2 linked regions of the Rhinolophus ferrumequinum genome follow. The protein of the gene in region 1 purifies or fractionates together with the protein of each later gene. This does not show direct contact. Links are inferred from orthologs where the notes say so. Each region holds a gene or a part of one and is shown on either strand. Other genes may lie near its edges.

Region 1 (16,747 bases):
CAGCCTAGTTCAGTGCACTCACAAATGGCAGTCAATTATTTTAAATGAATGCTGTCTTAAAGGCACGCCTGAAGCAACAAGCAAAATATAGAAACCCTAGTTGTTAGGTCAAATCAAAGTATTCTAATACATTTTAAGTGACATCAAACATTTTCTGGTACAATGTAAAACCCTCAAAATATGAAACTATATTTCAACACGAAGTCGCAGTTTTTTTGATGTCAAGTTTCTGATACTATTGTGAAGCCAAGGAGTTATAACTTTCATCAAAAGAAGCATAGTTCAAAGGACAATTTAGCTTTAAATATAAATAGTTATAATTTCTAAAATTCGGAATAACTAATTAGGTATACTAAAAACTGTCAAAAACTTGAATGAATCTTCTTAATTATTTCACATCTGTTGATTTGTCACAAAGTATTGTGCAGCCATAAAACAAAAGGGGGGGAGGAAGCAAATACTTATTAAGTATTTACTATGTGTCAGAATATTTTGCTCAGTGTCTTCCAAACCTTATTTTAACCTTTTCAATCATCTTCCGAGGTGGCTACATATTATAGATAAGGAAAGTAAAGGTGTGGCAGGGAATTACCTCATGAAGAACTTCCCAACTCAGCTGACGACATTACTACAATTATTTTCATTTCTCCTGCTGACTTTTTGCCTAAAACAAAAGTAGGCAAACTAAACCCACAAGCCAAATCAAGCACACCCTGTTTTTATAAATAAAGTTTTATTAGAACATAGTCACATTCATTTGCACTTTGCACTGTAAGAGCAAAGTTGAAAACTTGCAACAAAAATGATATAGCCTACAAAGCTTAAAATATTTAGTATGTCTCCCTTTACTGAAAGTTGTCAACCCCTGCCTTAAAGGCTCAAAAACGTCAAGAACCTTAGTGGTCTCAAAACTTCAATGTTTAGGGTCTTTCAGACAACTGCTAGCCCAAGAAGGAACTTTAAAATTATATGAGACAAAAGGCCAAATTGCTTGAATTTTTATAATGGTTAAATCATATGATAAGCCCAAATATATAAAAATGATATAATTAAAGAGCTTGATGATAAGGTTACTAAACCCTTATTCCTCTTAAACTGTCTTCTGTAGTCCGAATTGATGGAAGAAAAACCTCACAATTCACAATATTAAATATATTTAATGAAGATGCATCTTTTTACAATGCACCCACACTTTTCATTGTAGCAAAACCGAGCGTGGCTTTTTCTTACAAGTACTTTATTTCATATTTTCACTTAACACATTTTGATCTAATATATTCACTGAGTTGATTCTATTCTGATCAAGCCAAACATTTATCTGATTACTCAAGGATCTACATATTTTCTGGTGTGAGGAAGTCTGTTTTTGTTGTTGTGTTTTTAAAACTCTACTATTGTTATTCCAAGCAAAAAATCCAATTATATTATTTTATCTTCAATTAAAATATACTTTACGATCCAAATACATTTAAACAACTTGCTTAAATTAACCCAGAATGAAGAATGTGTAATTACAGTGACAAAAATAACATTTTCTTTCTTCACTTAGTAATTAATTTTAAACAAGAGTTTTCTAGTGGTATAGTCTACAATCTCTAGTATAACTCTATAAACTCTAGTATAACTCAAGAAAACTTAAGTCTACCAATATGTAAAATTTACATAATTGTTAGTGAATATCTTGACTTCTCTGACTTTATAGTTTAGTTCACAAAATCTTACATTCAATATCCTTCATTTTTAAGCATACATGTTAATGTATATTAGTCAAAGAAAAATAATTCAATTTGATTTTTGTTTGAAACAACTCTGGAGTTATTCTCAGAAACATACAAGGCTGGTTCAACATTTGAAAATTAGTCAGTACACTAACTAATTACACAGTTAACACCCTATTAACAGAATAAAGAAAAAAATCCACATGATCACCTCAATAGATACATTTGACAAATAGATACATTTGACAAAATTCAATGTCCATTTATGATTAAACAGCAACAAAAAACTTCTCAGCAACCTCAGAACAGAAGGAAACTTCCTTAACCTGATTCAGAGAATCTACAAAATGACCTACAGCTAACATATCTTAAAGATGAAAGATTGAAATCTTTCCCTTTAAAATTATGGACAAGGCAAGGATGTTCCCTTTCACCACTCCTATTCAGCATCTCACTAGAAGTCCTATCCAGTGCAATAAGTCAAGAAAAATAAAAGCCATACAGATGAGAATGATATAAACATTTCTGTATTCACAGATACATGACTGCTTAGAAAATCCAAGGAATACACACACACACACACACACACACACACACACACAAATTCATAATAAACTCAGGATATGAAGTCAATATACAAAAATCAATAAAAATCAATTGTATTTCTATATCTTGGCAATAACTAATTAGAAACACAAGTTTTTTTTAACGACAATTTACAATAGAACCAAAAAACTGAAATACTTAGGTACAGGTCTAATAAAATATTTACAGGAACTATATGTTGAAAATTCAAAAACACTTATGAAAGAAATCAAACACTTAAATAAATGGAAAGAACACCATGTTCACAGATTGGAAAACTCAATTTTGTTAAGATATCAATTATCCCCAAATTGAACTATATATTAAACACAATTCCAATCAAAATCCTAGCAGAACTTTTTGTGGATATCGGCAAGCTGATTCAAAAATTTATGTGGAAAGGCAAAAGAACTAAAATACGTAAAAGAATTTTGAAAAAGAATAAAGTTGGAGAACTCACACAAATCTGATTTCAAGACTTATTTTAAAGCTCTAGTAATCAAGACACTGTGATATTGTCCAAGGATAGACACATAGATCAGTAGAACACAAGAGCCAAGAAATAGACCCACACAAATGTAGTCAAATGGTTTTAGAAAGAGACAAAGGCAATTCAATGGAGAAGAGGTAGTCTTTTCAACAAATGGTCATGGAACAACAAAACAAATGAAACTCAACCCATACAAAAATTTCTCTCTTCATACAAAAATTTACTGATAATGGGACATAAATCTAAATGTAAAATATAAAATCATAAAACTTGTAGAAGAAAACACAGGAGAAAATCTTTGTGACTTTGAGTTAGCAGAGTTCCTAGATACAATACCAAAAGTAAGATCTATAAAAGAAAATACTGGACTTCTATAAAAGAAAATACTGGACTTCATCAAAATTTCAAACTTCTGTACTTCAAAAGACACTGTTAAGAGAATGGAAAAGGCAAGCCACAACTGGGAGAAAAATCTCTGCAAATCACATGTCTGACAAAGAACTATACAGAAATCTCTAAACTTGACAATAAGAAAATCCAATTTTAAAATGGGCAAAAGATTTGGACATTTCAACAAAGAAGATATATATAGTAGTAGATGGCAAATAAGCACATGAAAAGATGCTAAACATCATTAGTCATGAGAAAAATACAAATAAAACCACAATTAGATACTGTCACATACCTATTAGTATGACTAACATTAAAAAAGATTTACCATACCAAGTGTTGATGACGATGTAAAGTGACCGTAATACTCACACACTGCTGATGGAAATACAAAGTGGTTCAGCCTCTTTGGAAAACAGCTTCACAGCATATAGAGGGTGCCAAAAAAATGTATACACATTTTAAGAAAGGAAAACTGTGTTGAAACTGTAACACTCAATATATCCCAATAACAAAAGATGAATACAAGTCACGTTTGACTTCTGCAGTTACAAGAGGTGCTCAAAGTGTTTACCATCAGTGTCCAGACACTTCTGATGATGGCGAACTACTGCTTGAACAATGTTGACCAAAGTGTCCACTTGTATACATTTTTTTTTTGGCACCCCCCCCCCCAGTAGTTTCCTATGCTGCTGTAACAAATTACCACAAACTCAGTGGCTTAAAACAACACAAATTTATTACTTTACATTTCTGTTAGTTAAAATTCTGACTCAGGACTCCTGGGCTAAAATCAAGGTGTTGGCAGGGATCCATTCTTTTCTGGGGGCTCTAAAAGTTAATCCATTTCCTAGCTTTTCCAGCTTCTACAAACCACCACATTCCTTAGCTTATGTGTCCCCCCCGGCCCCTCCTCCCCCATCCTCAAAACCAAAAACTGCATCTCTCTGGCCCTGCTTCTGTTGTTACATCTTTTTATCTCACTCTACTGCTTCTCTCTTTCCCTTTTAAGGACCTTTGTGATACACTGCATCCACCTGGATAATCCAGGATAATCTCCGTGTTTTAAAGTCGGTTGATCAGCAACCTTAATATGGAATATAATAGCTAAAACAATTTTGAAAAAGAATAAAGTTGGAGAACTCACATTATCTGATTTCAAGAGCTTATTTTGCAGATGGCTGCAACTTTAATTCACCTTTGCCGTGTAATCTAATTTATTCACAGGTTCCAGGGATTAGGACATCTCTTTGGGCCATTATTCTGCCTACCACAGAGTTTTAATAAAGTTAAACATACACTTACCATATGACCCAGCAATTCCACTTCAAAGTGCTTACCCAAGAGAAAGAAGACTTATGTTCACACAAAAAAAGTTCACAAAGATTTATAGCAGCTTTTTTCATAGTAATAAAAAAAAACTGAAAATAACTCAAATGTCCTTCAATTGGTGGATGAATAAACAAACTGTGGTACATCCATACAATGGAATACTATATTCAGCAATAAAACAGAAGGAACTGCTGATACACTCAACAATATGGATGAACACTCAAATGTATTATGCTAAATGAAAGAAATCAGACTCAAAACGCTAAATACTGTGTGATTTCATTATATGATATTCCAGAAAAACAACCTGCAGAGAAAGACAACAGATTAGTTGCCAGGGATTAAGGATGGAGGGAAGATTGACTACAAAGAGCAGCTCAAGGGAATTGTGGTGCTGGAACTGTTCTGTATCTTGATTTTGGTAGCTGCGCAGCTTTATGCATTTGTCAAAACAACTGTATAACGAAAAGAGTTAATTTCATTTCACGTAAATGAAAAATAAAGTCTTTTTGAGAAAAGAACACAAATACATCATTTCTCACTCATCAGATTGGCAGAGATTTTAAAATCTGATAATGCCAATCTGACAATTCCAAGTGTGGCAAGGATGACTCAGCTACTGTTGGCAGGAATGTAAATTGTTACAACTTTAGAGGATAATTTGGCTGCAGCTAGTAAAATTGAAAATGCACATCAACCCATAGGCCAGCAATTCCACTTACAGGTAAGTTTACATTCTAGGGAAACCTTCACACATATGCTCAAGGAGACATGCATAGGATAGTCACTGAATATTGTTTGAAATATTGAAAAAACTGAAAGAAACCCTCCAGCAGGGGAATGAATTAATTGTGGCTAGTGGTTATTCAAACAAGAAAGAAAAAAAATGAGTAAAGGAAAAAATCAACCCCGTTGGCTACATATAGATGATTTTGAGAGGGGTAACTTACTGGTTTATTTAACAACAGTGTAGAGTGAAAAAGAGCACCATCCTTGGAATCTGGAGACAAGCGTTTTAGTTCCAACCCTGCCAACTAACTAGCAGTCATACTACAGACTGCTTAACTCTTTTCCTGGAAAACGAAGAGGTTAGGCTATACAACCACTAAGATTATTTCTAACTCAACAATTCTATGATTCAGTAAGTATATAATTAAAAATTACATTCTAAAGCATCTATGTCAAGAAATTTTTCCCCAGAAACCCTGAAATCAGAAACTATCAGAGAAATAGGACATCTTAGTATATTGATAAATAAAATGAACCAAATTTTTTGGTATATCTTTGATGAGCTTCTTAATCAAGATCGTAATTCAGAAAACACAGAAACAGTTAATTCCACTCTATTGACTTGGGTCACCCTCAGGTAAAACATTTCCTGTCCCATTTTAACTTTCTAAAACAAGTTACTATTATAGAGGCCCTTGTTAAGTCCAGCTCTGTCTAGCCAAAAGTTATTCAAGTACATAACACTCACTTGCTTTTTTAAAACAAAGATAAAATGATGAATTGCTTTTCGTATTTTTGCCTATTTCAGCTATAAAGACCTTACATTACAATTTAATAGCTTCAGCCTGCTACAATAAAGATCCTTTAAAAACGTGTAATAAGCCATGTCCACAGGGATCTAGTAAAAAATATTAGTTCATAACCCAAAAACAGCTTATTTAACAACTTCATTACCACCAATACTTATATTTCAAAGAGACCAATAACCAACATGTCATTTGTTCCTACTGCAGAATTTAATAGATTATTAACTTCTGGTATAATCCAAAAGCATAATACGATCATTAAAACATGATTATTACTTTAAAAGTTAGAAATATTAATGCCTTTCACATTGTCTGGAAATGTAAAAGTTCAAAATTCTTGTTCTAGAAGCTTTCCAAATCTAAATTCTTACAATTCTAAACAAGCACGGAGACAAAACACACACTATATACCACTTCTAAAAAGCTCCCAGCTATCAGATTTTAAGTTTAGCGCCAACTGCCAACAAAAACCTTTCGACCGAAACCTAAATTCCTTACACATTACTGTATGTCAATCAACTAAACATAAGGTGAGTTATTATTATTAGGAAGTTACATAATTTGCACCAAAGATTGTTCAAAGCGCCTTTCATTAAATGCAGCTTACAACAATTTACTGGCTTCAAAGTCCACCTTGAAAATTTAGAGTAAATTATCAGAAACTACTTACGAGATGAGGCTTCTCTTATTAAAAGTGGTGACAAGGAAGTAAGAACTGTTTGTTTATTTGTTTAAAGAACGCAACCAGCCAGCTGAATACCAGGAGCTGAGTCAGGCAGAGGAACGCTGACTACATTCCGTCTTCTAAAGGAAAGTGTTCGCCCCGCCGATTTTCCCGACCTGGCCTGGAGGGAGTCCTGGGAGTAACGAACTCGGGGACCAGGGTACCGAGGACAGGCGCGACCCTGCCGCGCCCCCTACAACTCGGCCCGGACGGGCAGGAGCCCCGCCAAGGTGGGTCCCTCGCCAAGACAGAGGGAGTGGGCACCGCCAGGCAGCGTTCCTCCAGGGGACAAAGGTTAAGCTCACACCCCCCGCGGCCGGCGGCCGCTCCCGCTGCCTGGGGCAGTCCGCAGAGCAGCCTCGGGTCTTGCCGGGCCCTGCGCGCAGCGTGTGGGGGAGGGGGCAAGCCCGGCCGCCCCTCCCCCGCCGCGCTCCGGGAGACCTGTTGATTAAGACCTCCACACCAAGCCGCCGCTGGTCCGCCTCTTACCTCTGTACCACAGCGGCCACCTCTCCTCCCGCCGCGGCCGTTCCTAAACACTGCAGAAACGACAGCTCCCCGGCGGCACTTAAAATACCGGATAAAGAATCCAGAAACTCCCGATTCCCCACCTCACAATCCTTAGTCCCCGCCCCTGCCCCACCGCCAGTCGCCGCCGTCGCCGCCGCCAGCGACTCCACCTCGAGACCGCGCGAGACCGGCCCCCGCGGCCGCCGCGAGACCGCGCACGCGCCCCCGGGACTCTGGCGCAGCGGCGCGCCTATCCCAGTCTCTCCTGCGCGCGCCCCGCCCGCTGCTAGGCAGAGAGGCTGGCGCGGTTCTCCCAATCCGGAGCCGGCTGGGAGAGAGGGCTCACTCATTGGTCGGCTCTACAGCTCCCGAGCGGCCGGTCGCGCGCACTTGCGCGCCTCGAAGTATAAAAGGCGACCTGCTTCGGGCTCTGAGGCACTAGAGAATTGCTTTGTGTTCGAGCCTGCTGGCTAGGTTGTGTGGAGTCCGAGGTTTCCCTGAGAGGTAGTCGGGAGCCGGCTAACGTTCTCCAGTCCTTGACTCTTACCTCGGTGGATGACTGTCCACTCCTGAAGAAACTCCAGTTCCCCATGAGGCGATTCCTCTAGTCCTGTGAAGCACGGCACACAATCTAACACTTGTTTTAGAAAGAACCATGACATATTTAAACACCTGAACATGTGTCGTGTCCCACAGAATAATTCTCTGCTATCGCAGAAGACTCCAAAAAGCTAGCCAGCTAGGACTGAGTTCTGAAAACAGAAAGTGGATGCCAAGGGCCACAGCTCTTTCACAAAACTCGAGTGAATGGACTTAGAGTTACCTGGGCCAACCCCCATCCAGTGCAAGGAAATCCACATAAACAATCTCCAGAATTCCCTAGAAACTGTTGGCTATATCCAAAATGGGGGCAAAAGGTTAATGTGTGACCTTTTCTAAGTTCTAAAATGCATAAAATAATAATTCAAGAAGCGTCCTCTAGCTGCTCAATGAATTTTTCTTTCTCTAGCTCAGGATTTCTCGACCTCAGGGTTATTGACGTTTGAACCACATTGTTGTGGGGGCTGTCCTGTGCATTACAGGATGTTTAACAGCATCCCTGATCTCTCTGCGGTACCTTCTAGATGCCAATAACACCACTACTCCCATTTATGACCATCAAAAATGTCACTACACCTTGCCAAGAGTCCCGTAGGGGGCAAAGTCACCTCCAGTTAAGAACCACTGATCTAGCTGTTCAAAGAAATGGCTTCTTTAAAAAGAGTCTCTCATTACCCATACATTCCAATTGCCTAATCCCAAGCAATTTTGCGTAACACCCCTACCTAAATGAACCCTCTAGCTACCGAGCCTTGCTCCTCCAGCTGCTTGGACTGCACCCTAATAAAAAAGATCACTATCTGTGATCATTTGAGATCTGAGATAGCAGCTACTGATTTCAAAACATGTGGAAATTATTTTGTAAAGTGCTATACAAATGCTAGTTATTATTTTTATTTCCTAAAGGTATTTTCACTTTAAAAGAGGGCAGACCCTCTAGCAAATAAAAAGTTTATTCTCTGATGAAGCTTATTCTCATTCTCAGAATCCCCAAATCACTCAAATTACTGGCCTTGTATGCAAAAAATGAAGGTAGCTGGAAGAGTGGAAGATATAGAAACTGGATGTAAAGTGATTAGATTTGAGTTTTAGCTTTGATGCTAACTAGTTCTGTGATTTAGATGTGTGACCCAGGTCTCTGGGGCCTAAATTTTCTCATCCGTAACAGGTTAACTACGTTTTTAATTTTTTTTCTAGTTTTAAGATTCTGGTAGCCTCTTCATGTGAAATCTAACATGATAGCATAGGGAGTTTAAAAAATATGATATGCATCCCAAAATAGAATGAAATAGGTCATCTGTAGTTTAAAACCCCCCGTCAGAAGAGTTGTTCATTCTTATCACAAAGCAGTTCACCAACTGAGTCACCCTGGTAAATTTGTAACTAAGTATTTTGGGCGAGTAGTGAAAGCCACACTGTAAAATCAAGTGTAGGGTGGAGAGTAACCATAGTAAATATGCTTCCTCCTTCCTCATCTTGGCATATGCTTAACCCATCATCTGCCAGTAGCCTCTATTACATGTTTACCGGTATGTAATACAATCTTGTGTTATTTCATTAAAGGCTTGGGGGAAATATATTAATATTGTGTTTCATCCATTTGCAACAGGTCTGAAATCTCAGTTTTCAAGAGTATACCATTTACTATTATATGTGAAATCCTTAACTAAGTCTATTATATCCCTTTGGTTTTATCATCTCTATGTACTAGTGAAAGCCAAAGATTTCATAACTGAATTGGTAGCCTAATCGCTGATAGTTATATGAACCAGATGATCAGAAATAATGTAAATTAAAAGAAGAATACTGACTGATTCAGGTATAAGAGAAGTTATGAAACAAGTTAGTAGGTACATTAATTATTAAGTATTTAAATTTTTTTAAAAACCAAAAAGACAAAAAGCAAATCAACAAACCATGAACTTTTCTAATTTAATTGGGCTTAGTTATTATTATGATGATGATGTTTTGTAGCACTTCTTAACCTTTCATAACGCTAGCTGAAATGATTTTGTCCCTAAGCTAAGAACATTATGCAGTTGTTGCCAGGTGCAATGGGAGGTCCCACCGTCTGTGGTTAGCATCAGTAACCATCCATACAGGCCAGTATCATTCAACTCAATTAACGTTAATATATAGTCACGCATTAATTCAAAAAATAATATACTGAGTACTTCCTATGTGCTTAGTACATGCTGCAGGGAACTGAAACATGTGGCAATCCCTATCCTGGAGGAATTAAGTAAGGTGGGGAAAGGACAAGATGAGACAAGTCCATATAACTAAAATATAATATAGTAAATGAAAATAAGGTGCCCTGTGGACTCAAAGAAAGGTAAAGTCTTATACTAGGAGAAGCTTTACTATCTAATGAGGAAGGAGAGGGAAGGGACAGAGAATAAATTATTATGAAAATACCCACAATAAAAGGAAAACCAAGATATTATGCATGGCTTTAAAAGATAGACATAAAACTTTTTATCAGTTTGAATGACTGAGGGGTGTACACAGAGAAAAGCATGGGCTTATTATGGGAACAGCAAGTAGTCAAAATAACTTCAGAATATCATATTCAATATTTAGGATGTTAGTCATTTATCACACTTTTATTTGGACCCATCTTAGGTGGTCCTCTGCTAGGCTGGGGATGTGTAGACAAATAAAATATGGTCCAGGATAATTTTTATTTTGGAGAGAGAAGGTAGGCAAACTTGGAGCTTGGAAAATTTTCTAATGAAGAAAAGGCCTAGACTGAATGCCAAGAGAAATGAAGTTAAGTTTGTTCTCTTAAAAAGGGCTATAAAATTACCCATGTCTTTTCCTCACTAAGCTCCCAATCAAATCTTTATTTTGTTTGTGTAACAAATCTCAGCTGCTGCTTTAATTCATATCCATATGTGAATATCTGTGACTTGGTCGGGAGTGGTATCTGTGCTGAACTCCAAAGAGTTGAACTCTGATGTCATTTCTATGTTGTCTTGGACTAACTCTGATTAAGATTTAACTCCACCACTGCTTCAAAGCAGGCCTTTATCAATGTCATCTATTAGAGCCACTTTGCTAAATGCAAAAGGTCAATGTTCAGTCCTCGTCTTCCTTGACCTGCCAGCAAGCATTTGGTGCCATTGAGCATTTTCTCCATTTTGCCTTCTGGGTGCCTAAAACACCACCGTAGCTTTTCTTTCTATCCTCTGGAACCTCCTTCTCAGGCTCCTTCCCTGAATGCTAAAAGTTGGATTGTCCCAGGGCTCTAACATTCAACATTTTACTTCTCTCTGCCTGGATTTGAATCCCAACTCTACCACTTGATAGTTGTTTGATCAGAAGAAAATCTTTGAATTTCTCCAAGATTCAATTTCCTCATCTATAAATTGCAGATAATAGAAATAGCTACCTCTTACAGTGATTGTGAAGACTAAATATATCTATATATGTAAAGTGCTAACGTGCCAGGCATTATATACATTATTTGTCCTTATTCTTTTCATCATGTTCTTTATTACTCATTCCCTACAGGATTGCATCTGGGCTCAGTGGCTTTGAATTTCATCTACACACCGTCAACTCTAAATTTATCTCTAGCCTGAACTTCTGCCATAACTCCAGAATCATATATTCAACTGTTGGCTCAACATCTCCATTTGAATTCCTAATGAGCATTAAAACTTTAACATGTCAGAACTTTTTGTTTCTCTAGTTTTATTCATTTTAGTATATGGTAATGCCACTATTCCAGTTGCTCAGGTTTTCTTCCACACTGTACATCCAGTCTGTAAAGAAATCCTTTTATTTCTACCTTCAAAACATATCCAGAATCTAACGACTTCTCACCAACCCTACTGCTACCACCATACTCCAAGATAGCATCTTTTGCCTGGATTACTGCAATAGGCTCTCTTCCACCCATATTTTCTCTTTTCAGTACTACAACCAGTGATCATACACACAGACACACACACACACACACACACACACACACAAAATTAAGTTCGTGAACTCATCCTAGAAGAAGTGCTACATATGCTACATACCTCATTGCTGACTATCACTATGGTCACCTTCAAAGTACTCCCCTTGGGAAGCTATGCATCGATGCCTAGTCCACTCTTCAAAGCAATTTTGGAACTTTTTTTCTGGAATGGCCATCAGAGCTGTCAACGTATTACCTTTGATGTCCTGAATGCCATCAAAATGTCTTCCTTTCCATATTTCCTTTATCTTGGGGTAAAGAAAGAAGTTGTTGGGGGCCAGATGAGGTGAGTAGGGAGGGTTGCAACACAGTTGTTTACTGGCTAAAAACTCCCTCACAGAGAGTGCCATAGGAGCTGGTGCATTGTCTTAATGCAAGAGCCATGAATTGTTGGCGAAAAGTTCAGGTTGTCTAACTTTTTCACACAGCCTTTTCAGCATTTCCAAATAGTCAACTTGGTTAACTGTTTGTCTAGTTGGTACAAATTCATAATGAATAATCCCTCTGGTGTCAAAAAAGGTTAGCAACATCATGGCAACAAGTTCACAAACTTAATTGTCAGACCGTGTGAGTATAAAATACAATTTTTTTTCCTAGCTATAGGATTTTTGAACAAGTAACCTCACTAAGCTTCACTTTCATTATCTGTCTGTAAAACAGGAAAGTAATAATACCTGTCAGATTATTATTGTGAAGATTGAGAATGCATGCAAAGCACATTGTAGAATGGCTGGCAGCTTTATGAGAATGAGTAAGTGGTGGCTTTTAAAATTCAAACTATTCTTTGGATGGGGACTATCTGTAGTTTCTTTATTATTTTTTAAAGTATGGGGATTTTTTTAAAAAAAACCTGTTTGAAAATGGCGTTCACTGATTCCATAAATACTGTCTCTCAGTCCAGGTGCTCAGCTAGAAATAAAAGACAGAAAGAACGAGGTCCATCAAGGACCATCCAGGACCCCACAATGCCCAGTGTTAGAATCAACATAGAGTTGGGCTAATGTCCGAAAAGAAAAGTAAAACCAAAGAGGATAACAACTTTCTTCAACAACAGCAAAATAAAGAAGCCCTACAACTGAGTTTATGAATCGAAAACCTTATTGTTTTGTATTGTTCTCTACCTTCTTTCATAATCGACATCCACAGTAATTAAGATTTAAGAAATTAGACTGACATGGATTTAAATGCTTAATGATCAGTAGTAGCCTTTATTTCTGCCACATGGAAGATGCTGCTTTGTTATTCCCTTGTGTTGGTTATTATTTCTTGAGCTGTGCTTGTTTTTTAGGTTAGTAGTTTGTGTTTATCTGGAAAAAAAAGATGGAGAAGTCCGTTCAATTAATTCAAAAGTCTGAAGTACAGAATAAGATTATTTCTGTTAAGTTAAAAACTTTAAAAAACTAAAAATGAGTAAAATAAGTAAAATTACATTTATAATACTGCTTTTCTTCTTAATGTAACAATAAAGATCCTTTGGACAGATTAAGTTCTCATTTTTTAAACCTAGAGCTTGAAGCAATATTAAAGGAACCTCTTAATTTCTTAAAACTTTTGTTTTAAGCTACTTCTACCCATGTAAGAATCTAATAAATCAAGATGTCAAGATTAAGATTATGGGCTTTTATTTTTTAAGACTTAGAGGCATGTCATCGAATTATTTTCAACTTCTTGATCTATGCTAAACTGAGTCCTAAAATAAGTCATATTTGTGTGAGATTTACATACACATCATGTATACTCATTGAAATAAGAGGCCAAGTTACTTTCACATGACTTCAGTTGTAATAATATGCTTTTTGTTAGTAACAAACTTTTATTCACCATTTAAAAAAAAAAACTCACCTACCTTTTCCCATATATAAGCAATTCACAGTTTGAATATTTGGGAGCCACTTTTTAAAGTTTCGGAAGTCAAGATTTAAATATGGTATATATATCATCACTTTTGCCCTTCTTTGCACATCAATTCCATCATCAGAGCCCTGAGGAGAGGAGCATGTCATTCCTGCCAAGGCTACTCCTGGTTCTTCAACCTTCCCTTCAATTCTGCAAACTCAGCCCCAAGGAACGCGTGTGCGCGCGTGCACACACACACACACACACACACACACACACACAGCATTAGTTATGTTAGGAGAGGAAGCTGAATTCTAAGTAACTCACGCCCAAGCTAGTGTCTCAAAGAAATTTACAATAGAGTGGGCCAGGGCCACCATGTACAGCTATGCAGGTTAGACTGCAATGCGAATGGGGTCCCCAGCACTGTGCAGTGTACAGTCTGCACAACGGTACATGGCAGCCCTGTAGGTACTCTATGAGTATTTATGTGATTTTGGTATGAAAGAAAGAAGCCTTGGCTGTGTTGGCTAATCTAAGAAAGCAGGTTGGGAAAGAGTAAGATGAGAGAGCAAAAGGGAAGAGTAGGAATGAGAATGAAAGGAATCACTTGTAAAAGCAGCAGCAAGTCATTCTCTTCCAGTGCCTTATCTGAAGCTTCCTTTTCTCCCTCTGCTGTTACATTTTGACCCATGATGGATTCTAGAGTGGAAACCACAACAAACCCTCCACATTCCAGTTCATCTCTATTGTTACTACAATAGAAGTAGTAAGATTCAGTGTTAAAAGACTCAATATTGACAACTTTTTGTGGAAGTGTCATGTCTGCCCTTTATATCTATAGAGATTTATAATTTTAAAAAATTACCTTTAGGTTGTCTTACAATGTTTTTTTCCATTGGCCTTTGCTTTTTCTGTTTTCCTTTCCTTTCCTCACATCCATTCCCCTGAGAAAAGGGGAGACAGATAAGGCACAAGATTGAGGAAATTAGAAGAGGATTCAAGGGAAGAGAGCCAGAGGGCAAAAGGAAAAACAGGGAAAGTGAAAGAGAGAAGGCAAGAGAGAAGGCAAGTGAGGAAGAAAGGAAAAAGCCAAAAGCAAGAGATAAAAAAAGCACGGAAGGAGAGAGAACTTATTTTGGGTCTCAAATTCAAATCATGTTTCTTAGCCACCTCAGCAAAAATGTCTTTTATTTACCAGTGGAGCCCATTGTTAAATTTCACAAACAGGTTCCCTTTAGGGTCCTCCCACCTGTTCTCTTGTTAGCCTGGGTTCCATAAACATAGAAAAAAATCTGGCTGTTTAGGATTCCAAGAAATTTAATTGGCATTCAGAAAAGAAAGATGGGTTGGAGTGGGAGGATACTCCCAGTATTTCACAGGTATTTTCTCCTCTCTTCTTTTCTTGAATCTCTATTGTTTGTGTCCTTTCTTTCCATCTTGGAAAAATACCGTAGGATCAGAGATAAGCCTATTGTTTGGGCTCACTGTAAAGACATCAGCAAAGTGAAGGGGAATAAAGCCTAGAAAAATAAGCAATTGAAAAGTCAAGAAGGAAGAAAGAGGGACTGAGATCCAGAGAGAGAGGTTTAGCCTGGCCCTGCCATAGCCTTTTCGTAAAAACAGTACGTTTGAAGTGCCACTTTACCCAGAATCCTATTCAGGAAGGAGAAAAACGTATGATTCTTTCAAACTGCTGAGAGTTGTGAGAGATGAATCAGAGACCATGCCCCCAACTAGCATTGCCCAGGAGTTGGGTTAATGTGAATCTGACAAGGTTAATAGTACCAGGGGTTTGTTTTATTGCCGTGGGATAGCTTATTATCCTGGTTTCTGTCTAGAATAGAAATCAGATTTACAGACTCATTTTTAGTCTACACTCAGTGTAAATTCAATGGAACAAGGGATTAGGATTCTATTAATCTTTGCTTTTCTTGGGGTAAAGAGTGTTAAGCGTAAGAGAGTGTGAAAGGGGAAAAAGGAGTGTTTCAGAGGAGTGTGAAAAGGGGAAAAGAAATGCTAATCAGAGGGAAAATTGAAAAACTATACAGTCCTAAGAGGGATGGGGAGATACAGGAGAGAAAAATGGAAAGGATGAGAAAGTGAAAGAAAACAAATAGGGAAATAATTAATACTTTTGTGAAAACCGCATGCCAAATTTGTATCTTGTACCATCCTTGAAATCTAAGACTCGCAGAGTGGAACTTGGGTGTATGTTTGCTGTTCGCTGCTTTGCTCCTTATTTCCAGAGCCCCCCTTCAAGCTGCCTGCTACATTTAGAAAGATGGGCCACCAGGACCACAAACATATCCCAGCTTGTTTCAGGGACTCCCTACTCCCTAGTCACGAGCCTCCCAAACTCGGTCATCTTCAGTTTTTTTTCTCTTGTCCCCACAGGAAGACAGTCAATAAATCTTGTTGACTACGTACCGTGTTTCCCCCAAAATAAGACGGGGCTGGACAATCAGCTCTAATACATCTTTTGGAGCAAAAATTACTCTAAGACCCGGTCTTATTTTACTATAATATAAGACCGGGTCTTATATAATATATATACAGTATATTGTTTCCATCTGACTGCTTCTTACCTGCTTGAAGACTTGGGCACCATTCCCCTGGACTATTATAATGACTTCTTATCTCTAGCCTCCTCCAGCTTCTCTTAGAGATTGCAGTCAGAGTAATGATCCTAAAACGCAACACTAATTTTGTCATTTCTCTCTTTCAGTGGCTCCTTCTTTCCTACCAAACAGTATTATCCAGACTCCTTAGCATGGCCCATGACCTCCGTAGTCTGGCTTTGTCTTGTTTCTGGCTGCATCACTCACTACTCCTAAACTGAGCGTGCCCAGCACTGTGCCACCCCTTTGATTTTGCTCACACTATTCCTTATATCCAAGATATTTTTGTTTCCCCTTTCCTAACTCAAAGACTGCCTCCTTCATTGAATTTTTCATTTTCTCTCTTGAGCTAAAATGAGGTCCTCCACTTTTCTCTTAAAGCAGCTCTACCATTACCATTTGTGTTATTTGTGCTCAGAGGGGAACATTGATGCAT
Region 2 (16,819 bases), on another chromosome or scaffold:
CACAATCGTAAAGTCCCAAGGAAATCACACAGGGTGGCCTTTATTCTTCCCACCCCACATCTCTCTTCATCTCCCAGGGCTCCTCGGTCATTAGAGGCCACAAGTCACCGTTCCCTGCAATACAACTCTAGCCCGCGTTGAGGGCCGCGACCCACTCGCGACCCCAAATCTACCTCGCCCCTATGGGAGTGCTCCTCACAGAGGATATTGTCCTACTTTGAGGTCCTCGCACTTAAGCATCTCTTCGCCCCCGGCGGCGGCAGCTCCCCAAGGTCCCGTGCTTACTGACATGAACCACAGGACACCCAGGAGTTGGGCAGCCACGGCCTCGGGAACAGCCGGCCGGGAGGGCCAGGCGGCCGCCATGCTGGGGACCGGCACGTCCCCCACCACTTCCGGTTCCGCCTTCGCCTAGGAAAGGGCGGGAGGAGGGCGGAGGAGGGAGGCTCTTAAAAGGACAGTGCATCTGCCGCACGCAGGTTCTGTATAAGGGTGGAATCAGCCGGGAGAGCTTTGGTTGATCTTCTAGACCGGAAAAAGGAGATGGCTGTGTTGGAGAATCAGCTACCCTCCATTCACTGCTCTCTCCCGAGCTAACCCTGCCGTGGCTTTTCTGTCCGCAAAGTGCTAGTGGCGCCCGGCGATTTGATAAACGCTTTACAAACATTATCTCCGTTAGTCCTGGTAGCATTTGGGTTTGCACATAACGAACTAGGCTCAAAGATGCTAGTAAGCATGTTGACCTTACTTACTGAGTTGGAATAAAAGTGATGTTTGTCCGATTTCAGAATCTGTGCTCTTACTGTTATGATATAATGACCTCCCAGTTATTCTAGAGACTTGGCGGAAAGCTGCTATGAACAGTACTTGTGGACGCTATCACAAAGCGAGGCATTACAACTTTATTTCTAATGAAAAGTTTAGGTGAAGGAAAGGGCCTATAGCAAGAGAAGACCAAAGAGTTTATGACCAAGTGAAAAATTGGAGGTTTTTTCCCCTCCATCTCTTCTTACTAACTTTCTATACTAAAAGTTCTGTAGTGGGATATCTTTCATACTGAACCAATGTGTACTTTTTAAGTAAAAGTTTAATCCTGTTTCTCTAATGTTAAAACACTTGCATTTGAACGGCACCTCTTTATCCACAGTAACACCAATTTTGAAGGATTGTGTTATGCACTGGTTCTCCAACTTTAGGGAGTATCAGCATCACCTGGAGGACTTGTTGAAACACAGGATGGGCCCAACCCTCAGTTTCTGATTCTGAAGATCTAGGGTGGGGCAGGAGAATTCATTTCTTACAAGTTCCCAAGTGATGTTACTATTGCTGGTTCTGAGACCACACCTTGAGAACCCTGGGATAATGTATGATATGATGAGAGGCGTCATTTTGAAATAGGATGACATGGAATTATGTCAGTAATATTTTCGTATTGTAATGATATTTACAATTTTTCTTAAACTAATTTTGCAGCATTACAGCACTATTTTTTTTTTAATTCCTCTTTCTTGGCCCTTTGTCCCCAGGCACAAGCCTTCTTTTCTCTTTAGACTGTTAATTTTAGTGGTTGGTACCTACTTATAGGTTTCAATATCGAGCTGGATGATTATGACACATTATTTTGAATTTATATAGATATAAATAAGTTATATTTATTTGAACTATAAGCATGTAAATTGGCTTCTAGTTATGTATTCATAAAGAATAGGTGGTCATTTCTACCTGGGCAACCAAGCAGCCCAATACCCGGCCCTCTCAATAAGTTAGGATTGGAGCCCCTTACTCTGTGAAACAGGGGGCCCAGTGGTTCTCTCAGTGACATCTACTTTTCTGGCACCCACAAAGATCCAGTGACAAAAGCTATCCCCACTTCACTGACTCAATAAGAAAGGGCTGGTTTCCTAGGGGGTCTCATGGGCTGTGACACACCACACCACCAAGGTCCTCCCCGTTTCTTCCCCGACCCCGGTCAAGGAAGACAGAGGGCAGCGTTAAACTTCCTTCATTCACATCCCTACCTTGTGAGTCTGTGTTCTCTCTAGGATCCATGGGTTTGGAGGAAAAAGAAGCAACTTCTAGCTCTACTCCTGAACCTAGAAGTCCAGTTCTTAATGAGATAGCTATTTTTAAATCAAAACATCTATGCTTAAAGATTTAAATGATAGGAAATTTGAAATTTACTAGTTTAATTTTTAAACTTTAAAAAGTTTTTGTATGGTCAAGCTAAGATTAGAATGGATAACTAAGTCACTTGCATAGTTTTTATGTGTGTTTATGTGAACTCTCACCATATCGTTAAGTCTTTTGTCATTTGCAGGCAGTTAGGTATTGTTTTACTCTGATGCTGTTGCAGAGTAAAAAAAAAGGTATTGTTTTACTCTGATGGAGTGCAGGACCATTCATAGTCTGACCGTTCATCCTCTGTCTCGTCTGCCAAAACATCCCCCCCATGCTCTCTTCACTCTAGCTGTATAACTCTCCTAACACTCTTCAAGGTACTAACACACCTCTCACTTGTTTTCTTTAGAACCCCCTGCCCTTCCATGTCTGTCCAGTTCACTCCTATTCAACCATCAAAACTTAGCTCAAGCATCCCTTCCTCGGGAAAGTTCCCACCAGCATGATTGTGTCCATCCTCTGTGCTGCTCCGAAGACTCCCATTGCATACCAGGGAGACTATAACTCTGGGCTGCAATGATATCGGAGACAGGAAGTTTGGGGGCTGCATGGGACATAAATTCCTACTCAAATGAGAATAAACAAAAAGGAAATAATAAATGGACCTCACATAAGGGTCATTTTGAGGTATAGCGGGCTTCAGATGGTTCAATGAGAGTTTCTACTTCAGTTCTCTACCATTTTCTCAGACCTGCCTTCCTAGATGCCTTCGCTTTGTCTTCAGGCTAACTTCCCCATGGTAGCAAGCCAGTTGCTAACGGTAATTGGGACAATACACTTAGAGAGGAGGAGCGAGAACCTTCCTCCTAGTTATCTTTCCCTTTGGTACGATGAGGCCAGTTTAGGTCGCATACCCAACCTTGGACCAATTACCATCACTAAGGGAATGGAGAATAATAATTAGTTGCAGACAGGATACCTGAACCAATAACAGGCAAGGGTGTGTGTAGGATTCCCGTGATTGGTTTAGTCCAGTATGAGTCAGCTTCCCTTAAATCACATAGCTTATGTAGAAGTAGGGTGGGTACCTGAATAAAAACGAAGTTCTGCCAGAAGGAAAGAAGAAGGGAATGGGTGCTGTCTAAATCACTGCAGTGGCTGCTTGTGTGTGTACACACACATCTGTCCTCTCATAAGACTATAAGCCTGCTGAGGACAAAATCCATGATTTGTTTATCTCAGTTCCCATTGTCTAGTACAGTACCTGAAAAAAAGCTTGTTTCTGCAAAGATTTTTCGTCATCAGAAATTCCTGGAGAGGACTCTGACACTCTAAAATACAAGTTTCTATTAAACTTTCAGATCATACCATTAAACTGGGTGAAGATTTGCAGAATTCTAAAAAAAACTGGATTCATAAAACTGCTAATAAAAAGATCAAGATCAACAGGAATTAATAACATTGGACTGAATGAACTGGTTAGGATGATTATATTTTTATGACTTTTTATTTGAAATGTTACTTTAGCTTTGTTTTCCAAATACAAGGAATTTCTTTTCCCCCTAAGCTACCTGTACCTACAGCAATTTAGTAAATTATACCTTTAGAAGTAGAATTGAAACATTTACTTTCCCTCCAGAATTTAGAAACTCTTAGTATAAGCTACACCTTCATTTTTTTCTTTTTTTCTTACTTTAGTTCGTTCCTATATCACAATTAATATGAGACGCCAAGCACCTATATTAGTTATTGTTTCCGTTTCCCCCTTTATTTCTGCCTAGAAAAATAACTAAACATTGGGCATCATCTTTAAACCTACTTCACAGGTCAAGATATGCAACTGGTTGCACACATAGTCAAGGATGTTCAATGCCTAGTGATGTCAACCCCAGTAAAGGTACCAGAGTTGGAAGAATACTTTTTCCTTGTGCAGGTATAGCAATGAGAATACATACATGATTAAAAACTTATCAGAAACCTTAGAGAAAATTGCTGGAGCCACCCCCAGAGCAACAGCCAACCAGGAAAAATCTTTAATTCCCTTTTGCAAGTTACATTAGACAATAGGATTGCACTTGACTATATCCTAGCTAAACAAGGTGAGGTTTGCTCTGTTATTAATAGCGCTTGTTGTACTTGGATAAAACAGAGACGAACTAGATAAAATAGAGACGTGATAAAATAGAGACGAACTAGATTAAAATTGGGCACAAAGCCAAATGATTCAATACCATGCCCACTGACCGGTTGTCTACTATCTTCCGCTGACTGCCCTCATGTATTGCCTCCTGGTTCAGATCAATTCTTCAAATTGGACTAAACATTTTGTTTGTTAGTATAGGAATTTTTGCTGTTATAAATGTTTGTTTTGCCTAGCTCGATGTTATAAAGACAGCACTCTGATAATGGTTGCTCAAAGGCTTATGAGACTTCATATGCGAAATCTCAAGAAGCTACAAAAGATTTTTGCCCTTAAAGGAACATGATGGTAAAGATTTCCTTTGTTCTTGCACTCTTGTTGCTCAAATGTGGCCCAAGTCTGCTAAAAAAAAAACACTTTCCTTCCTATGTGGGACATGACATACCAGGAATGATTCTTCCTGGTGATGTGGGACTGACAATGGCATGACATGCCGAAAATGAGCTTACCTGGCAAAGGAGGACCACAGATGCTTTTAACAAATGATCAGTGTTGCTTTCCAATGATTGATCAGCAATGCTTTTGAGGAAAGATCTCAATTAGAAGGAAGAAATATAAAATATCATATAAATGGAGCCACTATAAAATGGAGTCAGAGCTGCTATCCCAGAGGAACTACCTTGAGTGTCTTGCTTCTCGAACCTTTGGAATATTAAAACTGGGCAAAATAACCTTTGGATGGGGCCTAAAGCAGCATTGTATACCAAACAACTGTTTGTAATGATGACAAGAAGGCAGATAGTATGATGACGGGACTGAAAATTAAACATTCTTTGGAGTAACATCACTATGTTAGCTTATCTGCACCTATACATAGAAGTTCCTGCCTTCTCTTGACGTAATTGTTCCCCTTCTCTTATAAATACCCCTTGCCTTCATTTCCTAATTGGAACACTAAGTGAGGTTCTGCGTGAATCAGTGCTTCCCAAATAGCTATTCTTTTGGAACTCAAATAAATGCTTGTTGCCTCTCACTTGGGCCTTTTCATTTTTAGGTTAACACATTATACGTCATTTCATTGCAGTTCCAAGAACCTATGTATGCCACTGAGGATTTACTGTACTTTTCTCCTGACTGCAGGAATATTGTTGATCTTTGTATTTGTGTCATTTTTTATATAGATTTTGAACACCTAACTATTTGAAAATGCTATGCTTTGCTGATTAATCCCTTTACAAAATCTATTTTTATGGTTCTAATAATATCATCATACTCTCCTACAATGTATAAACTGAAAAGTACAAGACTCTTCCCATGAAAGTAAAGAAACAATACAAAAATTTTGACTCTTGAACTGATGGTATATTAAAAAATTCACTTTCTCCTCTTACTGCCCATTAATGTATGTTCTCATAGCACAGTAAAATATATTAATTTATTTGCAAGCATAGTCTCTGATCCCATGGTTACTCCATTGTCTAACTTTAGTAAGAAAGTTCTTAAATCTCAATCCTAGGTATATTTGCAATGCCAAATTTCTTTTTCACATAAAAATTCTATAGAATTGAGGGGTGGCCGGATGGCTCAGTTGGTTAGAGCACAGGCTTTCAACAAGGTTGCCGGTTCAATCCCAGCATGGGATGGTGAGCTGCGTCGCCCTGCAACTAAAGATTGAAAATGGCGACTGGACTTGGAGCAGAGCTGCGCCCTCCACAACTAGATTGAAGGACAACGACTTGGGGCTGATGGGCCCTGGAGAAACACACTGTTCCCCAATATTCCCCAATAAAAAAATAGTAAAAATAAAAGAGTTATTACTATAAAAAATTCTATAAAATTCTTTAGAAAGGAAAAGACATGAATAGCACAGCCCAGTATGGGAATTGCTATATAGAAATATTAGGAAAGAGGATAACCAGTGAAGCCTGAAGAAACAAAACTTCTTCTAGGATTCAAGGGCTCTGCACCTTGGATCTTTCCATTCCTAAGATTCTAGCATATGCCTAATTACGTTAACAGATAGTTTTTTTGCCCATAGCAAAACTTTCTGAGTAAACCAACCTGACTCCTGTTTCCATGGCTATGACAGAAACACTAAGAGATAAAAAATTGTTACTCTCCCCAACTTTTTAAAAATATGACTATAATGGGCAATCCCTGCCCCCCTACCTCCAGTGATAAATTTATATCAGGACTCTGGTAGATCTTTTATAGCTGCACATTTTAAATTCTACTACCATGTTTTCCCGAAAATAAAACCTAGCCGGACAATCAACTCTAATGCGTCTTTTGGAGCAAAAATTAACATAAGACCCGGTCTTATTTTACTATAAGACCCGGTCTTATATAATATAATAAAATATAATATAATACCAAGTTTTATATTAATTTTTACTCCAAAAGATTCATTAGAGCTGATTGTCCGGCTAGGTCTTATTTTTGGGGAAACATGGTATATACATGCTGTTATTTCTCAAGTGTTTCTAATTGTGTCCTCTCTGGTGCGCCAGTCTAGCTGCCTACTTTCCAATTAAATGGGCTCATCGATTAATAAGGCCTACTTTATGCTAAGTATATATCATCTTGAATGTCAAATGTAGGATCTAAAATGGACTTGATCAGAGTCCTGCTTCTCAAAAAACAGAACAGAATAAATTGACTTTTCTAAGTTTCACCATCAATATCCCTTTTACCAAATTCAAAACTTAGAATCCTTATACTTCCGTTTTTTCTTTGTTTTCTTTAATCCCTTTGTCTAATCAGTAAGCAACTGATATATATATATATATAAATATATATATTAAACTTTTGCTTATTTTTAAGTACAGGACCCACCAGCTTCAAGTCAAATAGTTGTTTCAATCTAGTTGTGGAGGGCACAGCTCACACTGGCCCATGGGGGGATCGAACCGGCAACCCTGGTGTTAGAGCATTGCGCTCTAACCAACTAAGCTAACTAGCTGCTCCGCAACTGATATTTTTAAGTGTTCATTTTTTTTATCCTATATTTTCACCTTATTTCAGATGTACCTTATTTCTGTGTACCTTGCTATAGTGGCTCCTTCCTTCCTCTTTTTGATTATAGGGTCCCTCCCCAACTTTGTCAATCCACTTTTCACACTGGTTCCAGATTTATCTTTCATTAAAAAAACAAAAAACCAAAAACTCTATATCATATTCAAAATCCTATTTAAGCTCCTTGGTATTTACCCAAAGGAGTTGAAAACTTGCATCCACATAAAAACCTGCACACAGATGTTTATAGCAGCTTTACTCATAGTTGCCAAAACTTAGAAGCAACCAAGATGTCCTTCAGTAGGTGATGGATAAATAAACTGTGGTACTACAGACAATGGACTATTTTTCAATGCTAAAAAGAAATGAGCTATCATGCCATGAGAATACATGGAGAAACCTTAAATGCATTTACTAAGTAAAAGGAGCAATATTGAAAGGCCATAGACTGTATAATTCCAACTATCTGACATTCTGGAAAAGGCAAAACTATGGAGACAAAAAAAAAAATCAGTGTTTGCCATGAGTTGAGGTGAGGGTTATGAATAGGCTGAGCACAGAGGATTTTTAGGGCAGTGAATATATGTCATTATACATTTGTCCAAACCCATAGAATGTACAACACTGAGAATGAACTGTAATGTAAACTGTGGACTTTGGGTGATAGTGATTTGTCAGTGTAGGTTCAACAATTGTAACAGATGCACCACTCTGGTGGGGACGGTGATAACGGGGGGAGGCTGTGCATGTGGGGGGAGGAGGGGAAAGGGCATATGGGAAATCTCTGTACCTTCCTGCCAATTTTGCTGTGTTCCCAAAACTGCTCTAAATTTTTTTTTAAATAAACACCAATCATTAAGTGTTTTAAAAAGCAAACAAATAAAAATCTTATTCAAATATTTTCAGTGGGTCTTTAATTTCTTAGTGATGAAGGACAAAGTCTTATAACCTAAAGTTTTCTGTAGTATTTTCAGGTTCTCTACCATCTGACTCACTTTATTTACTACGCACTACTGTTGGCTGTCTCCTTACTGTCACCAGTATCTGTTGTGCGTGCTCCAATCTCTGTGCTGCTTCATTTACTGAGTACTTTCTATGTGCCAAGTATATGCAATACATGTATTGCATATATGCAGTAGACTTGTTTGGTCACAGTAAGACCGTGAAGAGGTCAAGTGGGAGATTAAGTTGAAGAATCAGCAAGAAGGGGAGAGTTTAAGAGAGCTTTGGATACTTAGAAAAGGAACTGGAACTTCACAGTCAATCCAAAGTCACATTATTTTTTGAGAAAGGGGTAATATGTTTATAACCATCACCAAATGTAAGAGACCCACATGTTTGCAAAGTGATGCTTTGAGATAATTGGTTTCCGTCTGTATGCCGCCTCTCTGACTTGGGAAGCATTTCCTTCTTTTTATATTAAGCAAATTGCAACGCCTGTTAAGACCCGTTGAAGACCTAACAAATACTTTCAACAAGCATAATAGATCTCTTTATTTTCTGGAAGTTCTGGCTTCATTCTATTTGGTAATTTAATTTATCGTATAAGTTTATTTCTCGTAATAGCTTGTTAGTTCCTAAGAAGTAGGGACCGTGCTAAATTGTGTATCTTTTTACCAGGCTTCACAAGTGATATTTTTAAGAGCATCAAACTAACAATAACACTGCTAAGTACCAAGTGCATGATCTTACACCAGATGACTTTATGTTGCAGTTGTTTTGTATATATGCCTCTGCGAGGACAGGTATCCCATTTTTAACATTTTACAGTCCATCACAATTAACAAATACTTCATTTATTCAATGAATACATACCTGAAGATCGATTCTCTTTATCGTTAGAGTGTGGACTGTATTAGACAAAGTAAAACGCCTAGCATCAAAATCCCCTAGTTATAGTAAAGAGAGCGGAATAATGCCATTGTAGGTTTTACACAGATCTTTCTCAAAGTCAAGTTATGACATCAAAAACAAAAATGTTCAGATGTATAGTGAAGTAAAAACGGGGCTTGGAGTCAGAAGATCCCCTCTAGGTCCCCAACTTGGGGCAAATCACCTAACCTGTCAGGTACGCAGTTTCTTCATCAGTTTCTTCACACTGTAATTGAGGTCATGTATAAGCTTAGCGCCGGCATATTGGTAGTGGATATTGCTGAATTCGTTTCTTTCCTTTTCTCATTGAAGTGAGGGGGGAAAATAACCTCCAGTTATACTTCTTAGAGTTTTATATTGGGTCAGTGCACCTAGAAAAAACAAGGAGGGATGACAGAACGGGATAACGAGGGACTAAGCAGATTTGACCAAATCCTTTCCTCAATATCCTCTTTTAATTTCCTTGATCGTGGGTCTCGCTCTCTGCTCAGCCTCCTACAACACCAGTCTAGCGACCTTCCCACTCCATTAGTGCCGGCTGTCCCCACCACTAGGTGTTTCCTCGGTCTGATCAGCCCCCAGACGCTACCTATTCCAGGATCTTTAACCCTCCCTTGCCCACTGGAATTTAACCTGCAGAAAGGAGAGAAGCCAAGGACCCTGGTGTCCGCTTCTCAGAGTCGGCCTCCCGCAGCCCCAGGCTCCTCCGCCCCCGCCAACGCGGCGCCCCGCCCCGGGCAGGGAGGTCGGTGCAAGGGGAGGGCCTGCCAGGTGAGGCGCAGTCACCCTGGGCCTCTCACTTCCGCCCAGGTGAGGGAGGGCCGACGCCGCGCCCTCCTGCCAGCCAGCCCGCTCTGGGCTCCCACCCGCACCTTCACCGGACCAGGTAAAGCGGGGGATCCCGCTGTGTGGGCGCGCGCAGCGCTCGGGGTCCCTGCGCCTAGGAGCAGGCGAGGGGCAGCCCCTCCTCCTGTGTCTGGAGCCTGCCTCCCCTGCTCCCAGACGCTTGCTCTCCGGCATTCCTCCGCCCGCCCTCCCCGAGGCGGTGGAACTGGAGACGGGGGGAGCTCCTCGAGCGCTCGGAGGGGTCCGCGGGGGGTGCGGGGCGCTGTCCTCCTGCGTCGGCCTGGGTGACCCCACCGTGTCCCCCGCTCCTCTGGCAGGGCTCATCGGAGGCCGCCGGCTGCAGAGCTGCCCCGCCTGGGCAGGCCCTGGCGGCCCTCAAATCTCGGCCCCTACTGATCCGGCAGTGGCAGGGATCAAATTTTGCACCCAGATTGATGCCTGCGCTTCGCCCCCAGAACTGGGCGGAGTCTTTCCTCAACCGGTGACGGTGAAAGGAGTAAAGAGGTGGAGGCCTGCCTCCGGGACTGGGAGAAGGCGGGGCTGCCCAGACCCCAGCGAGGGGCGACTTGGCCTCGGCCCCTTCTGGGAGCCTTGTCGTCACGTAGCCGAGTTCCCAGGCCGACCGTCAGGCCGAGGCTCTGCTGGCCTCACTTTATAGATGGGGAGGACCAGGCGGAAAGTGCTCTGGCCTCCAGCCTTTGGAGAAATTGATGGACGCCTGCTTTAAGTCAAGCTCTGGAAAGCATTTTCAGATCCCTCCCGGTCCCCTCCAAAGCTCCCCAGCCCTCCTGGCACACCTAGCTGGCCGAATTGATATCCCCAGAGAGTGTTCACTGGGTGCTTTGTCATATCTCCCAGATGGCTCTTATCACTTTGGATTCGAATTGTTTACCGCTTTGTCTCCGCGATTGAGAGGGTGCGCCCTTCGGGGCCTTGTTTCTTTGTAGGTTGCTTCCCAGCCGCGTTTTGAGTCAGGCCATCGATAGGTGCGCAACAAACAAGTGTTTCTTGGATAAGACTTCTGGAGAGCTAGAAGAAAAAGAAACTTCAGTTATACCGCGGGTGGTAGTACCACATTCTAGGCTGTCTGAGCTCCTATAGGCTGCCAGTTCTTTTGCACAAGTGTTTTTAAAGGAAAGCTGGAGAGGAGTGGGGGAAAACACTCAAATTGGTTCATTTTGCAGCATCAGAAAAAGTTAGGCGAGATCATGACTTTCAGCTAAAATGAACTTGGTGTTTCTAGGCCCCTAACGGCCTTTATAAGGATTATTAAAAATTTAAAGTAATTATAAAGTTGATGAATATCGGAGCTGGAAGACAATTTTATAGGTAGAATTTATAAACTGAGTTCTGAAAAGATTTGCCCTTGTTAATTGAGATCCTGTTAAGGGTCACATAAGATGAGTTTGCCATCAGAATAGCAGTTTTGTTTAAAGTCGAGAAGAAATTGTTTTAAGCCCTCATCTGTGTTTAAAGATGCCTAAGTTCAAGTCATATTTATTAATATTTTTATAACTATAAAGCGAACATTGATTGTAGAAAAATTGGAATTTTCAGGAAAAAAAACTATAAAGCAGACTCAAAACCATTTACCATTGAAAATAACCACTAATAAAATTATGGTATATTGTCTTTCAGTTAGTATTCTTAAAAAGAAAAATCCGTATATTTTCCCATAGTGAGTTCACTTTTAGAACCTTGTGAGTCTGAGATAGTGCTTCAGCATTCAGAATCCTTGCAACTGCGTTTTTACTTGAAAGCATTTAATAATTATCCTTAATCTAAACAACCAAGCAATCTGAATTTACTTGCTTTGTTAAAGTTTAACAGACACACTCGGACATTAGGTTGGGAAAGCCAGAATGGAGTTTAATTTATTTACTTAAGACTTTGCCCACCTTGGTACTAAAGTTTTTGAGAAACAGGATTATTCCACCTTAATATTTGAGATTGCTTGACCATTGCTATGTTTTTTGTTGTTTTGTTTTTCACACTCACATGTTTTTGTGCAGGTTTGGATGCCTTTTTTAAAGCCTCATTTTCGGTTTTGGTGCAAATGGAGAGAAATTTAGAGCGCATCAATACCCTGTCTTTAGTCATCAGGATAAGATCTATGCTGCAGTCTTAGAGCCCGTTTATTTTTTGCGTTTGTACAGCTGTGCAGCCAGTAGAGTTTGGAGACATGGAATTGAGTCCACTTACCATCTAACTCTTGGCAAGTCACTTGACTCTGGTCCTCTGTTTTCCCATTTGTAAATGATCTATCTCACTGAGTTCTGGGGAGGTTGAAATGAAATAATGTTAAAGAATGTGTCTTGTAAACTGTAAGCCATTCTTCCCACTTTTTGCTTCTCCACTGTGATTGATGTTTAACTCTGATAAAATTATGGAGTTGTGCTATTTTTATTGGGAAGAACTCAAGTCTGTGAGTGTTATTGCTAATAGTTACTTTGATAAAAGGCACCTAGACAGTATTAGCTGATAAATGAAAGTCTTCGCTAAAAGCACTCTACAGGGATCTTTCTGAGAAGGTGTAGGTGAAAACTACTGTCAACATGGTTAGCCACGCGCACGTGTGACTTTTGGGCACTTGAAATAGGGCGAGTTGGGATTGAGATGTGCTATAAATGTACAATACACCTTAGATATTGAAGAGTTAGTGTAAAAAAGTCTAAAATACCTCCTTAATTTTTAAGTATTCTTTACATATTGAAGTGATAATTTGTATAGATTGGATTAAGTAAAATACATTATTAAAATTAATTTTACCTGCTTTTGTTTTACCTCTTTCATGTGGCTACTAGAACAATTCAAGTTACATATGTGGTTCACATTGTATTTCTGTTGAGCACCAGGTTAGAATTCACTACGCGTATGTTTATCCTTAAGAGGGTTTAGTTTACTGAAGCTCTCACATTCCTATTTATAAACTGGTTTTTTTAAACTCCAAAGTTACAGGCCTCTCCATACCTTCTTTCTTTGTATTCATTGCATTGGTGAAAATTTTTGTTCTTCAACCATTCAATAAATAACCATTATTGATTACACAGCAATATCTCAGCTGAAATAATTTAATTATTAGCTTGTTTGAAGCCCCCAAAATATCTTAAATAATTTTGATTGTAAAAAGATGTTAATAATAGAAGCTACCATTTATTGAAAGGGTACCGGATGCTAAAGCATTCAATAAATGGTATTAGATATTAATCTTAGTCCGTTAGGTATGAGGTATTAATTAGATAGTAGATATTAATTAGGTATTAGATGTTAGATAGGTATTAGATTTCAGGTATTAGGTATTAGATATTAATCTTAGTCCTTTCAACTGTAAATATTTAGTCATTTTTATTAACTCGATTTTACAAATGAGGAAACTGAGGTGTAGAGAGATTTCAACAGTTAGCCAGAAGAACCCCAGAGCTGGTCCCAGGAGTAAATCCCAGGTTTCTATGATTTCAGAGCTTATAGGCTATACAGTCTCTCATAGTTCAAGAATTGATTATTGGATCAACTGGGAAAAAGTTGATTCTTGAAGTAGATATTTATTTCTGATCCTGTTTTTGTGTTAGTGACCAATAGGAAACAATCTAAATTCTCAACAACAGGAGATTGGGTGAATAAATTATGTACGAATATTCCTCCAGTGGAATACTATTTACTAGTTACAATCAGTGAAGAGGAGCTGTGTATATCATCATGACTCAATCTTAAAAATATAAAGTTGAGCTAAGAAAGCAAATTCATGAAGGATAAATATATAGTATAATTACCATTTATATAGTTTAAAAACCTGCCAAACAATAATATTGTAAACAAAGAATGCGTTTTAAGAATTTCAGATTTGAATTCTGTCTGTTATTTATTACTTGCATTTGTGAAATTGCCTTGTGGTTAAAAGAACTTAGTACAGTCTCTGTGAGATTAACATTGTCTAGTATTGGTCTTACTCTTAAAAAAACAAAACCAAAGTCCTGCCCTTTGCTTTGGTGATCTGGACAGCTTGACTGGTAGGATGCTTTTAGGTCCTGGTCTGCAGCCTTTCAGGAACAGACCAATTTTCATTTAGCTTTAGTTTCTAATTTATGGGTGTAGCTTTGATGATAGGGGCAGGGTAGGGCTTCTGCCTTGAAAAAGGTGGATTTCCTTTGGAGTTATTTTCTGGAGCTTCTAATGAAGTTCCAGGGACAAAGTGTGGTAGGAGGGAGATGAGTTAAGTAGATGTTGAGAGTCAGGTTGACAAACATTCCCTCTCTAGTGAAAATTTGAAATATCTGACTCTCATTTTTAAAGTAGTTATCTGCTGAAAAAGTCATTAACAGTTGACTTGCTCTACACCCCAAGGTAAAATTAATTCCCCTCAGTGGCATCTATGCTGCCTTTCTCTGTTATCACCTTTTTCAGCGTGCTCTCCCCCTTGTTTTTTGAAATTGTAGGTTTTCTGCATTTGCAAAATAGAGATGATAATACATTGTTAAGAAGATAAATGAGATGATATACAGAATGACCTTGCATTGTACATAGTGGGCACTAAAAAAACTAGTTACTTGATTAAATGACAGATAAAATGGTTTTTGGGAAAAGGCCAGCAGGAGGAAGGAGGGTGAACATTGATGGAAAAGGTGTCCAGAGCCTAGTTTGACCTATTTCACAATTTGCTAGGATTGTTTAGAATATTACAAGCACGCCGGAAATGGCACGACCATATTTCTGGAGCGAAATTAAGGACACACAGTCTATGGTGTGGGGAGAATTGAACAGAATATTTGAGGTGGAAACTCATCATTAGTGAAGGGTATGAATGCCTGGATCTTTTCAAATGAGGAAACTGAGGTGTAGAGAGATTTCAACAGTTAGCCAGATGGGCTACACGATCAGAGATCCATTAGGTAAAAGTTGCCCAGATTTGTTTTCTTGGTCAGTCATTGGAGAAAACTGCCACCAACAGGGATACAAAACCATACCATAAAAAGGTTAACTTTGTTCATACACAGTGACCAAGTTACAGGCAGGATATTAATATGCATTGGATGCATTAACTTTGAATAGTTCAATGAGAAAAATTAGTATTTAGCCAACTGAATTATTCTGAAGAACTGACTCAATTTTCAGTTCTGACTCTAAGTTTAACATGGTGTCTTTCAGCTTCAGTTTCAACATGTCCTCAATGTCCAGCATTACATGGATTTAAGCATTATCTGAGGCTTAGGCGTATGGCCCCTAAATATCAAGGTCATTCTAGAATTTGCATATCTATTTCCAAAATACCAGGAATACAGTATAGTGTTTTGGCAGCAGCCAAAAATATAGTATTTTTTACATCTAAGCAGTTTAGAGAAGGCCTTGTCATTTGGTAGGGACACAGGGCTGCGGCACATGCCTTAAATCTGCACTAGCATGGCAGCAGAGGTGTTTATTTGTAGTTGGAATGAAGAGCCATCATTGCTCTTTGGCTGGGAGAGTTTGTTTTGCATTTAATCAGTACCTCAAATGTTGAGCTTTGAGGACAAAGCCATGATAATTAGACACAACCTGAGCTTTGCACTCCAAAGGAAGCAATAGAAAGTTGTTTGTGAACTTCCATTGTTGAATAACTCCTGAACTCATGACTTCATTTACATTTAATAGCTTTTAGATTGTTCAAACTCTCGGGTCCTTTTGAGCTCTAGGGAATTCCCATTGAGGAGTTAAGTGTAGGTTAATTCACCTGCAGTTAGAGGCTGAGTATCTGTACTTTCCCAAACAGATTGCCAGTGATCTTTTTCTCCCCAAATTTCAAGATAGACGCATGAGATGTCTTGTTAAGTTTGAGATAGATGTATAAGATATCTTGGGGAGTTACATTCTTGTGTGCTGTTGGGGGTCTGAAAACTGTATTTCTCAAGGTCCACAACTCTCCTAAATTCTTGAACTGAGGAGGTTAATAAATCTTTCTAATAAGTTTCCTCCACTTAGAAATGTACATTTAATAGAATTAAATTTCTATTTGTGCGTCATTTTTTTCCAACTATTCCATTAATTGGTGATGGCTAAGGGCATGGGTATTAAAAAACAACAACAACACAATATTATAATTCCTTCAGTCAAATCCTACAGTGAACCAGACGTGAAGAATCCATGGTGACAAACTCTCTTGATCAATGACAGAGTGGGAGCTTCTGAGCATAATAAACTACTCATTCTCTGGAGGCTGTACAACTATGAGGACAGTGGCCAACTGGCATTTTAATGTTTAGACTATGACCTATATAGGTAGCCTATTTATGACAAGTTAGACTCAGCTTTACCATGTTTAAACAAACTTGAAATTCCTTGCTTAAGCCTTGTTGGTTTCTTAGCCTAGCCAAATCGGTCAAAGTTGTTTGGTGGAAGATTTCCTATGTCCATGAAATGAGACATAGGTTACATTTAGCCCGGATGCTGCTTGCTGGATGTTCAGCTGTGGGGTTACATTTCTTTCTTCTGTACTCATATACTACGCTTTAGTCCCCTTCCCTAGGCATTACTCAACACCATGGAATTGTAGTAATTTTCCAGGCCTGCTTTGTGGACACAGTTTAGCTTTCATTAAACATGAGTCAGAGAATTGGACGGCCAACCAGTTTCTATCCTTTACCCTTTTAGAGGGATACTCTACTACTGTGGTTTCCAAAATGTGTAGGATGATCCATTGGGAGTGTAGGAAGGCGACAATAAAATCTGGCTTTTTAGTTTTTACCTTACTCTCACGGTTTCTATTTTATATATGGCTTTAAACACATATGACATGTAAATATGGTAGTATAAGTTTAGAAAAAATAAAGTGAGTGCTGAACATATTTTTACTGATGG

What was found.
Region 2: the proteins of PALS1 (region 1) and PATJ purify together in Homo sapiens (co-immunoprecipitation; 5 studies listed by BioGRID and IntAct, counting the BioPlex papers as one, with this or other methods). This does not show direct contact. The link is inferred for Rhinolophus ferrumequinum from reciprocal best matches to the Homo sapiens genes PALS1 and PATJ.

The regions. Positions count from the first base shown.
Region 1 is NC_046289.1:29,399,053-29,415,799, forward strand, and holds the start of PALS1 (protein PALS1), read right to left. Parts: upstream 7,409-16,747; 5' UTR 7,264-7,408; intron 7,005-7,263; exon of another isoform or gene 6,872-7,004; intron 6,842-6,871; exon of another isoform or gene 6,721-6,841; intron 1-6,720. UniProt on the Homo sapiens protein: Plays a role in tight junction biogenesis and in the establishment of cell polarity in epithelial cells.
Region 2 is NC_046292.1:45,103,742-45,120,560, forward strand, and holds the start of PATJ (inaD-like protein), read left to right. Parts: upstream 1-9,902; 5' UTR 9,903-10,031; intron 10,032-16,819. Other genes in the region: TM2D1 (TM2 domain-containing protein 1), read right to left, coding at 209-366.